Caenorhabditis elegans: one gene and its partners. The protein of the gene in region 1 purifies or fractionates together with the protein of each later gene. This does not show direct contact. Each region holds a gene or a part of one and is shown on either strand. Other genes may lie near its edges. The genes, in order: K05F6.8, F36D3.5 and ule-2.

Region 1 (3,082 bases):
GTTAAAAACGTGCTGACGTCACACAAAAAAATTCACGCATTTTTTTTTGTAGATTAAACCGTAATGGGACAGCCTGACACCACTTAAACTTGTCGGCTCCCCCTTTTCGTTGCTTTGGTTTTTAGGGTCCTCTACGATGTAGTATACGATAAAATAAAACCATATTCAACTTGGACTTGTAGATCATTAAAACATTTATTTATTGAAAGCAAGTACAGTTATTCAAATAAAATATACTCAGAATCATGAACAGCTACAAAAAGCTCTGCATAGTCGAAACGATGTTCTAAAATTATAGTTGCTTTGATGCCTTGGCCCAGGTGTATATCGATTCCTCCGACTTTAGGAGTCATCCCCGAATCTACTTCGAACAATTTGAATTTCCTGTTACTTGGTGCAATCTCATGAGGAATTCCTTTTAGAATAGTGTCTTGGTTGAGTGCAGGGCCACGCTTTACACTGCGAAAATATTCAAGCCCAGACTTCAATCCGGCAATCCAATGTTTCAAGAACACATTGATCTCTTGTTCTGTTAACTCTGGATAGAATGTATCAATGAAAGAGCAGGTAACGAAAAGTAGCTCGTTTAACGGTAGGTAGATTGATGAGTTAAGCTTCTGAAGCTTATTGGGCAAAACTTGGCGTAGTTCCAATTGTTGAGAGGAGTCTAATGGTTGGGGATTGGTTGCATGTAAACCTAGCTCAATGTTTGGTGGGAATGCGGAGAGAAGTTTGATCATCAGCGGGAATTGGGTGGCGAAACCAATGGAAAGCTTTGAGATCTTGACATCTTTCAAACATTCCGTAATCATTGGTAATTGCGACTCATTCAATCCTCCATCCGAGAGAGTTAAATGTAGAGTAGCGATTCTTGATATGCGGAAGATATACAGAAAGTGTTTCAACCAACTTTTCGCATCAAATTGTGGCGCAGAAAAACGAAATTTCGATTCTGCCCATATATCGATGTTCCCATTTTGAAATTGGTAAAATACATTGCCTGGCCTACTCAGGCCTTCTATATAGCCAATCGAACCAGTAAGTTCCAGATATGGTCGATGGTTTTTGAAGATGTGAAACTCTCTGACAAGTTCTTTGGTTTTCTTAGACACCATTGAGATGCACACTCTGAAAAAGGCATCAATTATTAATGGGTGTTAAAAAGAAGAAAAAACTCACTGCTCGCTTTCAACCATGTTGCAAAAAACCTTTTTTAGGTTTTTCTGGGGGAGATTGAGAAGAGGAAAAGAAGATGCGACCATTTTGAGAGAAGGTATGAGAGCAGAATGAGCTGGGGGTAATAGTAACAGGTCTTCGTACAAGACGCTAAGATGTAATAAATTTATTGATTGAATATGTCAACTATCCCATCTAGAAGTTGATAATGTTTCCCATACAGTGAGCTCTGGAATGTACCAATAATATTGATTTGCCAGGATCACATTGTGCTCAATTATCCTAATCATCTTTCAACAGTGCCGCAGCCATTGTGTGAGAATGTATTATTAATATTGATTCACAGGATCACCTTTTAATAATATCCTTTACTGGTGAGCACCTGCCGCTCACCCTGCCCATTCCATTGTGTTCTGGTCCGTAAGAGATCCAGGCTCGCATTTCTGGGGAGTGTTGCGAACGTAGGCTGCCAAGTTTGGCTGGCCTTTTTGAGCTTCAAGGCCTGAAATTTGTTATGGCAAGTGGTGTGGTATATTCAAGACTTCTTTGAAATTAAAAAAAAATGTATTGGTTAAAAAATTCAAATGAGATATACATATTTCGAATTACGAATAGGTGCGATGCAAAGGTGTGCGGCAAATTTGCCGAATTTGCAGAGCTCGGCAAATTTTGAGATTTGCCGCACACCACTGGTGCGATGCCTAACAGGTTTAAAGGATTAAATGACGATCCGTTCTCCAAGTGTTTCCACTACGGATCTGGGAGTCAGGTACACTGCCTGGTGGTGCTCCCACTGGGTTATAATTTAAGCCACGTCCTGGCCGGGGACTGCTGTTAGTTTGTGTTCGCAATCCTCATAATGATCGCCAGCAAGATGCCCAGAGAAGTACGATTACCATCCTTTCAGATAGAAATCATCGGTGCTATGAGCACATACAAGATCTACTGCCAGTCACTACTGCCCCTATCTCATTCTGCTCTCCTAATAATGGTTGCACCGTCTTTTCCTCTTCTCAATCTCCCTGAGAAAAGCCTAAAGGAGGTTTTTTGCAATATGTCAGTAGTGCAACAGTGAGTTTTTATTTCTTTAAATAATATTTATTCTTAATAATTTTTCAGAACATGCATCTCAATGATTTCCGAGAAAACCAAAAATTTGGTCAGAAAGTTTCACATCTTCAAACAAGTTCAAATATGGTTGGATTTTTCTGATTCGCTGAGATGTTATATGAGCCTAAAAGGAATTTCTCTCTCTATTTGGCATACTCCAATGTGGCATTAAAAGAACCGCGACTGAAACTGATTGAAGAGTGTTTGAAAAACCTCAAAGTGTTAAACCTTTCCATCGATTTCTTCAAACAAGTCCCGCTTGTCGTCGAGCTCTACTCCAAATTTTCACCGACCAATTAGCTCAGCTTACGCCAGCCTGTAGATCAACAATTGAACTCTACTCAATTTTTGGAACTACGCCAAGTTTTGCCCAAAACACATCAACAACTTTCATTAGATATGTACATTCCGTTAAATGAGCTACTTCTCACTAGTTGCTCATCTATCGACATATCTCATACAAAGTTAACAGAAAAGGATATCAATGTGTTCTTGAAACATTGGATTGCCGGAATGAAACCAGAACTTGAGCATTTCCGACTTCAAAAAAATGGTCTGCCTCCTTCCTAAAGCCCCCATCTTGCCACACACACGCGTTTTCGGTGTTCAAAAAATGTTCAAAAAATGTCCGAAAAAATGTAATACAACTTTGAACGTTTATATCTCGGCTCTCACGGAACCGATTTTTGAAATTCTTTTTTCTCTACATTCACAAAATATAGCGACGTGTGTTCATCTAAAAGGGGGTTGATTTTGGAGCATCCTGTCGGCTCCACAAGCGGAAAACCACACCCCT
Region 2 (3,759 bases), on another chromosome or scaffold:
TTCCCGAAATTGTTTGAAATATTTCAAGAGCATTACTCAGTGAATTTGTACTTGAACCCTTCGCAACATGCTTCTTGAACCAATTACTATTCAAATCACCAGCAATCTTCGAAAAATCTCCAGAGTTTTTGAAGCCAGCAGTGAACAACAAATTTTGCTTGACTGGCGAAATATTATGAGATTTTGCTTCCACGATTGATTTATTGAGTTGAGCCATTGCTTCAAAAACCATTTTCTGACCGAGAGAGCTTGGGCTATTCCAAAGCGGTTTTGCTGTTTGAAAAGTAGATAGAACTTGCAAAAGTGTACTATTCATCGATGACAGGGATTCTCGGTGTGTTTCAAACCAAATTATATTGTTCTTCCCATTTAGCAATTGTCGGTAGACTGCTAAATCCTTCCAATTGGACAATTTTTCTATTTTGGAACCCAAACTTCTCAAGCTATCAATGCATGTGTTCATCAACTGTTCCTCCATATAAAAATTATTGATAATTTCAGCAACCGTTGCAGAATCCGGGGTCACTCCTGTGTCGTCGTCAAAAAGAGCAATGAAATCTTCCAACAAGGATAACTTTGCGCATTTAGTGGCAAACATTTTGTAACTACTAAGAGTTCCGGCTTCACTCAACAACTTTTTTGTTGAGATACTGGATAATGCTGACAAGCTAGACGATTGCTGTGAGAAAAACAATATGAAGCTCAAAGTGGCCATCATAGCCTTAACATCATCATCCGACAAGGCTTGTGTATCATTTTTAGATAATTGAATCAACTTCGTGTATTCTTGGTGCATCCTTTTTAACTCCAAACTTGCCGCCTCCACATTTACGTTCATAACCGTGTTCAACTGATCGCTGGGCATATGAAGAAGTTCTGATAGAAGATCACGAGCTTTGATTTCCTTCCTAATTGCTCCAGCTTGAAGGGAAATTGCATTGGTGACACGCGATAGAATCCGAAACTGTTCACTGATTGCTTGGAGATCGGATGAAGCTGGAAATGTTGAAGGTAACAAGAATAGTTTGGTCAAGCTTATTAGTTTCATTTTTCAAATGTTTTTGGATATGCGAGTAGCTTTCCCAGGCCTCGCAGAAAGAACATTTCAGATTTCAGCAACGTCACCGGCGCATCTTTTCTGGTAAACCTTTTAACTGTACTCACAACCGACGGCGCCTCAGATAATTGAACCAAGCACGAAACGCCTACAAAACACGCATGAGCATCTGTTTGGTGATGGCGCGTTGCTGGGTGGTTTGCTGACGACGCTTGCGTGATTTTCAATCGCTGCCTGTGTGTTTTAAAGCTGCCGGCATGGCCTTCCTGCAGGCATCCTTCAAAAATCACGCCGGAAGTCTTTAACCACGCTGGCAACGCTTGAAAATCTCATTAGCAAAAGGATCATCAGCCAGCTGCACACCCCTGTCACAATGCGCCAGCGTGTAGGCCTGTGAAACGTCGGTCGCGGAATTTGTTAAATTGAATACCATCACTCCATTGACTCACCTGATTGACCGATTTTCATACATCCTAGTTGAATAACGATAATGAAATAAAAATTAGTTATTTGCATTGTTGTTAACACCAATTTTGAACTTTTCTCTGAAATGTTTCGTTTAAAACTGAACATCTGAAATGTAAACTCACCGAAAGATTATCACTTTTTTTGAAAAGCAGTAGATTGGGAAGTTGTCCACATCGGCAATGACAGGGATGGAAGATTTCAATGACGAGATAAGACGATCAAATGAAAAGTCACGGAAATAAGGAAAACGTGCAAATTTATTTTATTTTTTGTAAAAGTTTTTCAGAAGAAAACACGTTTGGATATTTTTATAAATTTGGCAAATCTTTTTGAAAAGTTTGAACGCGAGAATCAAACTCAAGTTTTCAGAAAAAAAATACTTGGGCAAGCAATTCAAGTGGAACACCTTTCAAATAAAATTGGAGCGAAATTCCATTTATTTCAAGCATTTTGCAGAGAAAACTGTAATATCTCAAACTACAAAATTTGCATCTCTTTAAAAAATTAAGATGACCAACCGAAAAGATGACATATCGAAAAAATTACTATCAACTTCGAAATTGCTTAGCAACTTGGAAATCGATTTTTTTTTAATCAAAGAGTTTTATAAAAAGTTTCCCGGATTTGGATTCTTGGTTGTTTAAAAATATTATCGGTACGTTTTTTTTTACCTAGATATCAATTTTCAGACGCGCTAGAGGGGTTTTTGTGTCGAATTCCAATTTCAACAATTCATACAGGCCCCACAAAAAAACAAAAATAAAAATTTTAGAATTTTGGAAAAGTTTTCATAGATTTGGATTCTGCCAAGCCGCCTCTAATAAATGCCGAGTGTGCAGACTCCGCCCCTTTTTCGCGTTTTTTGACACTTTTTTGGCTCGCGAAAAAATGTCCCCTTTTGTTTTCATTAATAACTACAGAGCCGTGTGACTTCATGCTCTAATATTTGAAATCCTACTAGAAATATTTTGCCCTTTTGTGGAGCAGAAAACGGCACTAATTTTGGAGCAAAATTGAGCCCAGGGCGGCTTTCCCCAGTTTGAAAAAAAATTTTTTGCTCTTTTTACCCCCAAAAAACCATGTTTTAATTGAATTAAAATTCGGGTTTTGCTCTGTTTTATTTGAAACTTATGTGCAAGATACTACTCAGAGAGACGGATTTTTTGAAAAAAGTTTGAGTTTATAAGTGCAAAAGGAAAAAAGTTGTGATAAAACAAAAGTCCAAAAAATGGCATTTTGCCAAAAATAAAAAAAAGAGCCCATTTAACCCGTCTTGGCTCCCCCGTGTTCACATCTAATAAATTTTTCAGTAAGAAAATCTGTCATAGAGGGACTTTCAAAAAGTAGCAAGTTGTTGATCTCTGGAATTGTTTACAATTTTTGATGTTCGATGACCAGAACACTATAGTATCTTTGAAGATTTTTTTCATTAAACAAACAAGATATAAAAACACAGATCACCTCCATCAAAATCTTTATTCAAATCAAAATTCATCATATTTTCACACACAATCAAAAAAAAATTCATTTTCGAGACACTTTTTCTTTAGACAGGCTGATGATGGAGGGCTGGGCATAGTCTAGTTGGCAACCAATGGAATGACGGTGAGCTCGCGTGGTGGATCACTCTCAAAGACTCCCTTGGCACAATTCTGCTCAGTAGAAGCATTGGATGTGAGGACAATCAAGTGATCAGTCTTCTCGACTCCATTATGACGGAGCACATCGATCGAAAGCTTGTCACCGGGCTCAACGAATCCGAACACTGGGTTGACGCGGTAGAGAAGGTTGTCGGAAGTTTTGACCTGGAAAGTTATATTTTTAATGAGCCTGAGCCAAAGCCTAACTCTAAGCCTAAGTCTAAACCAAATTCCCTCTGCTTACCTTGAATGCCTTTCTCGACTTGGTGTTGTTGGCAATGCTGACTGTCTGAACACCTCCCGTCGCTGCGAATGGAAGCTTGTTGGGCGAAGCTCGAAGAGTCGACGACTTCACTGAAGCAGCACCCTGTCCTTCCGGGAATGTGTACTTTGGCTGATTGGGAACCAACTTCAGAGCTTTCGACTTCTCGGATTTCTCACCGGAATTCGATTTGATGGACACGTCGGAAACATCTGTCGAGTTGATCGGTGGGCAGAGGTTCTAGAATTAATAAAAGGTTTTTTTTCTAGTTTTAGAAACTGTGGGAAAAATTACCTTAGCCTTGTTCAAATCGCACTTCTTGGAGGACTTGT
Region 3 (3,539 bases), on another chromosome or scaffold:
GAAACAAACATTTTCCGTGAACTTTTTGATCGAACGTTTTTTGGCACATTTTCCACGACGTTTCAAATTCATACGCAATATATAATTTATTTCCTGGACAAATCAACAATCAGAATGGTGAGTACTTTTTTTTCTAGAAAATCGAACAATTGAAGGTATGTTTCAGTTTTGCATTCTAAATTTTCTACTGCTCCCTCTGGTTGTCTTGGCTCAAGTTGGAAGCTCTTGTGATACAGGTAACGCTTATTTAAAAAAAAATTTCCAATTAGATATTTAGATAACTGTATTTCAGATGGAATCCCGAACCAATTCCACTGCAACATTAAAAATTTGAAACGTGACGCTCAGAACTACCTCGAGTGGCCTAACTGGTGTCAAGTGTTTCATGGAAATTTGCATTTGAGAGTGATTAATTTGAAAGCTGCAAATTTTGAGAAATTGGTAAGGTGACATGTATGTTGGTTTCTGAAAATGCAGCGTCCGACATCTTCCGGGCGCAGGCACTCTGTACTTTTTATCAAATGATGAAATTTCTCGAATTCTGTTCTAAGTGTTATCTATCTGAGTAATGTTGAATTTCTAAAATAAAGAATCTGAAACCGCATTTTTATTTTTTGCAGCGTGAAATCCGTGGAACCCTTTCACTAATCAATTCTCCATTCAATCGAATGCCTCAAATGCCAAATCTTGTCAGTATTAAAACTCATAATTCATTCCCTGGACTCGTTATTCTCAACAATACAAGACTCCGTGATATGCGTGGATTTGTGGATTGGAATAAGGATGTCAAGATTACGGGAAATGAATTTCCAGTTTTTATTTCTGGAAATCTGGAATTGGATACTGTTAACCTGCCAGAAATGTTCCACAAACCATATTCTCCACTTTCGTGTGAAAAGAGATTGATGCCAAATTATAATATTCAATTTGCAGAAGGTGAGAATTGAGAAAAATATATAACAAGAAAAAATATTATGCGGTTTCACATAGTTTTCATAAGGACTCAGTATTTAGTTTACTATTAGTTGAGTAGTTAAAATGAGCATAAGTGTACGTTTGTTTTCATAATAATCCAAACTATGACTTATGATAATTATGAACATTTTCATATTTACTATTTTTTTTTACTGTTTCAAATACACTACTCGCATCTGCCGTTCTTCGTTTTAGTTGATTTCGAAGCACGACAACCCATCAATTTCATTTTGAGAGTCACATTTACCATATCTAAATCAATTTTCAGGAATGTCGCTTGCTGCCGTCCTATTCACATTGATCATCTGTGCTACAATGTTCCTTCATCCATTGAGTATGGGAAGTACTAACGTCTATTTTGTGCCTGGATATCATAAATATTGAAATTTGCAATTATTTGGATAAATTATTGATTGTGTGTGTAATTTTTTATATTTATGATGTAGTAGAAAGTGATTATGCTTTAAAAAAAGTTGACAACCGTTTCAAGTTGTATATAAGTTTTCATGTACAAAAATTAAACTCAATATTTTGATACGAGATGGAAACTAATTCAGTGCATTTAAAACCCTGATATCTGAGCGTTTGGCTTAAAAATTATCTAAACTTACAAAACAGTGATAGTACAATAAAAATAGATACAACACTAAAATATTTCAAATTGAGCATTTATCGAAATTTCTTGCCACGTAATACTCCGCGTTTTGGAGATTTCAGCTAAAGCTGAGAAGTTTTACAGGGGTTATCACAAAATTAGTTTATTTGGGCACATTTCTAATAGTAAGTCACAGTACTTTAGTGGGTAACGTAGTAATAAAATATGAATTTGCCTAGTACTACATTGTAAGAACGTTTAAATAATATTTAACTTAAGGCGATATTTTTCCAGAAACGTTAACTATATTTTTGGATGGAACAAGGAAAGAAACTGTAACTGGAAAAATTTTCCGGTGTTTTTTTAATTTAACACCGAAACAGTGAAAAAATTGTTCTGAATTAATACGTTTTCAATTGAAAAAAACTTTTCTTCGGGAAAATGAGTCAGATGTTATATTAAACTTTAAAATTGATACAAACAAAGAAGTACCGATTCAATTGTTTTTCAAAAATATATAAGACCGTTCTGAAACAGAAAAAAATAAATCATGATTTTCTACATTCTTTTCCTGTTACCTCTGGTCTCCGGGCAATGGGGTACCCCTCCACCAATTGTCACTAATGAGCAATGTCAAGTGGAATACAAATCGATAATGAATTGTGTTAGGGTAAGTCATTGATTCAGGAGCGCCCCACATTTAGCAGGCTCTGGCTAAGACTAGTCGCATAGCCAACCCGCATGATGTAGGGTGCTGCTAATTTATTTTCAATCGTATGCCCTTTTCAGAATCCACGTCTTTTCACAAGAATTGATGAAATTCCCCGTCCTGAGAAATCAGAAAATCTTGCACTAATCGAAGAAGTCACTCACGTCCTAGATTGTTCTGGATTCTTAAATTGCAATAGTTCAAGAATTTTGCAGTCATATTTGTTCAATCAACGTTGGATTCTAGACGTACTTCATGGAAAACTGGAGCCATGTCTTGGGAATGGAGTTTTACGCAAGATTTTTGATTCTTGTGATCCTGCTCCAAGTTACAAGAATTTCAAGAAATTCGATGATGATGATTGCAATAGGATTACTGTGTACCTACCTTGCTTTGTGAACGAACTGAAAAACCAGCCAACTTGCAAAATCAGTGATGTAAATCTATTCAAACGAATGATTTTTGCAATGAGATCCGGTTGTGTGATGGGCCATCAAATGAAAATTGAGTTCGACAACTATGGAATTATTGAAAATTCATTTTAACTTAAATCTTGTTACAATAAATGTGTGCTCAATGCCATGCAATATATTTGAATTATTTAAACCGAAATACTAATGTTTACAATTAACTTGTTCATATTTTCAATAAGTTCAGTTTCTAACTTTTGTAATGATGAAAATTATCATGAGATTAATAAAAGGCGGTTTCAAATTACATTCATTTGGAAACTATACATGGATTTTTAATAAATCATTGTCAAATAATTTACTGTTTCATGATGTTAAAAAGTAAACGCCAAATGTTTATTATTTGAATTGCTTTATTTTTTAACCTTTTAAACTTTTTAAAACTTTATTTAACTTTATTTATTTATTTATTTGTTTAAACTTTATTTTTTAATTTTTAAACGCACATATTTAGGAGGCGCATTGTTCATTTGCTGACGTTGAAAATTACAAAGAATAGTGAATTCAGCATTCTAATGAAAAATTCCAGTTTGTCGATATTAACAGAGTTAATGAAACATGATGGGAAAATTTAATATTTTTAAATTGTTTCAGCACTATACAAAATGTGTCCAGCTTAAAACCAGCAGTACAAATGGTTATAGGTATTCATTAAATATTCAAGCATAATATAAAACGTTCTATAGAAAATTTCGGCTTGCCGTCGACGCTGTATATTTATTTTGGCTGAATATTTAAATTTCGTAAAACAAATTCCTCTTAAAAACCAGTAACAGGTAAGATTTAGATT

What was found.
Region 2: the proteins of K05F6.8 (region 1) and F36D3.5 fractionate together in Caenorhabditis elegans (co-fractionation; one large-scale study listed by BioGRID). This does not show direct contact.
Region 3: the proteins of K05F6.8 (region 1) and ule-2 fractionate together in Caenorhabditis elegans (co-fractionation; one large-scale study listed by BioGRID). This does not show direct contact.

Annotation. Positions count from the first base shown.
Region 1 is NC_003280.10:1,566,700-1,569,781, reverse strand, and holds K05F6.8 (F-box domain-containing protein), read left to right. Parts: upstream 1-2,035; coding exon 2,036-2,247; intron 2,248-2,295; coding exon 2,296-2,458; downstream 2,459-3,082. Other genes in the region: fbxb-49 (F-box domain-containing protein), read right to left, coding at 219-1,128, 1,180-1,262.
Region 2 is NC_003283.11:16,513,488-16,517,246, forward strand, and holds the start of F36D3.5 (BRCT domain-containing protein), read right to left. Parts: upstream 1,754-3,759; 5' UTR 1,648-1,753; intron 1,603-1,647; 5' UTR 1,574-1,602; coding exon 1,507-1,573; intron 997-1,506; coding exon 1-996. Other genes in the region: F36D3.4 (Major sperm protein), read right to left, coding at 3,106-3,330, 3,410-3,667, 3,722-3,759.
Region 3 is NC_003282.8:14,633,011-14,636,549, forward strand, and holds ule-2 (Uterine Lumin Expressed/locailized), read left to right. Parts: upstream 1-2,115; 5' UTR 2,116-2,120; coding exon 2,121-2,240; intron 2,241-2,359; coding exon 2,360-2,824; 3' UTR 2,825-3,014; downstream 3,015-3,539. Other genes in the region: irld-4 (Receptor L-domain domain-containing protein), read left to right, coding at 115-117, 167-236, 293-441, 621-936, 1,244-1,359.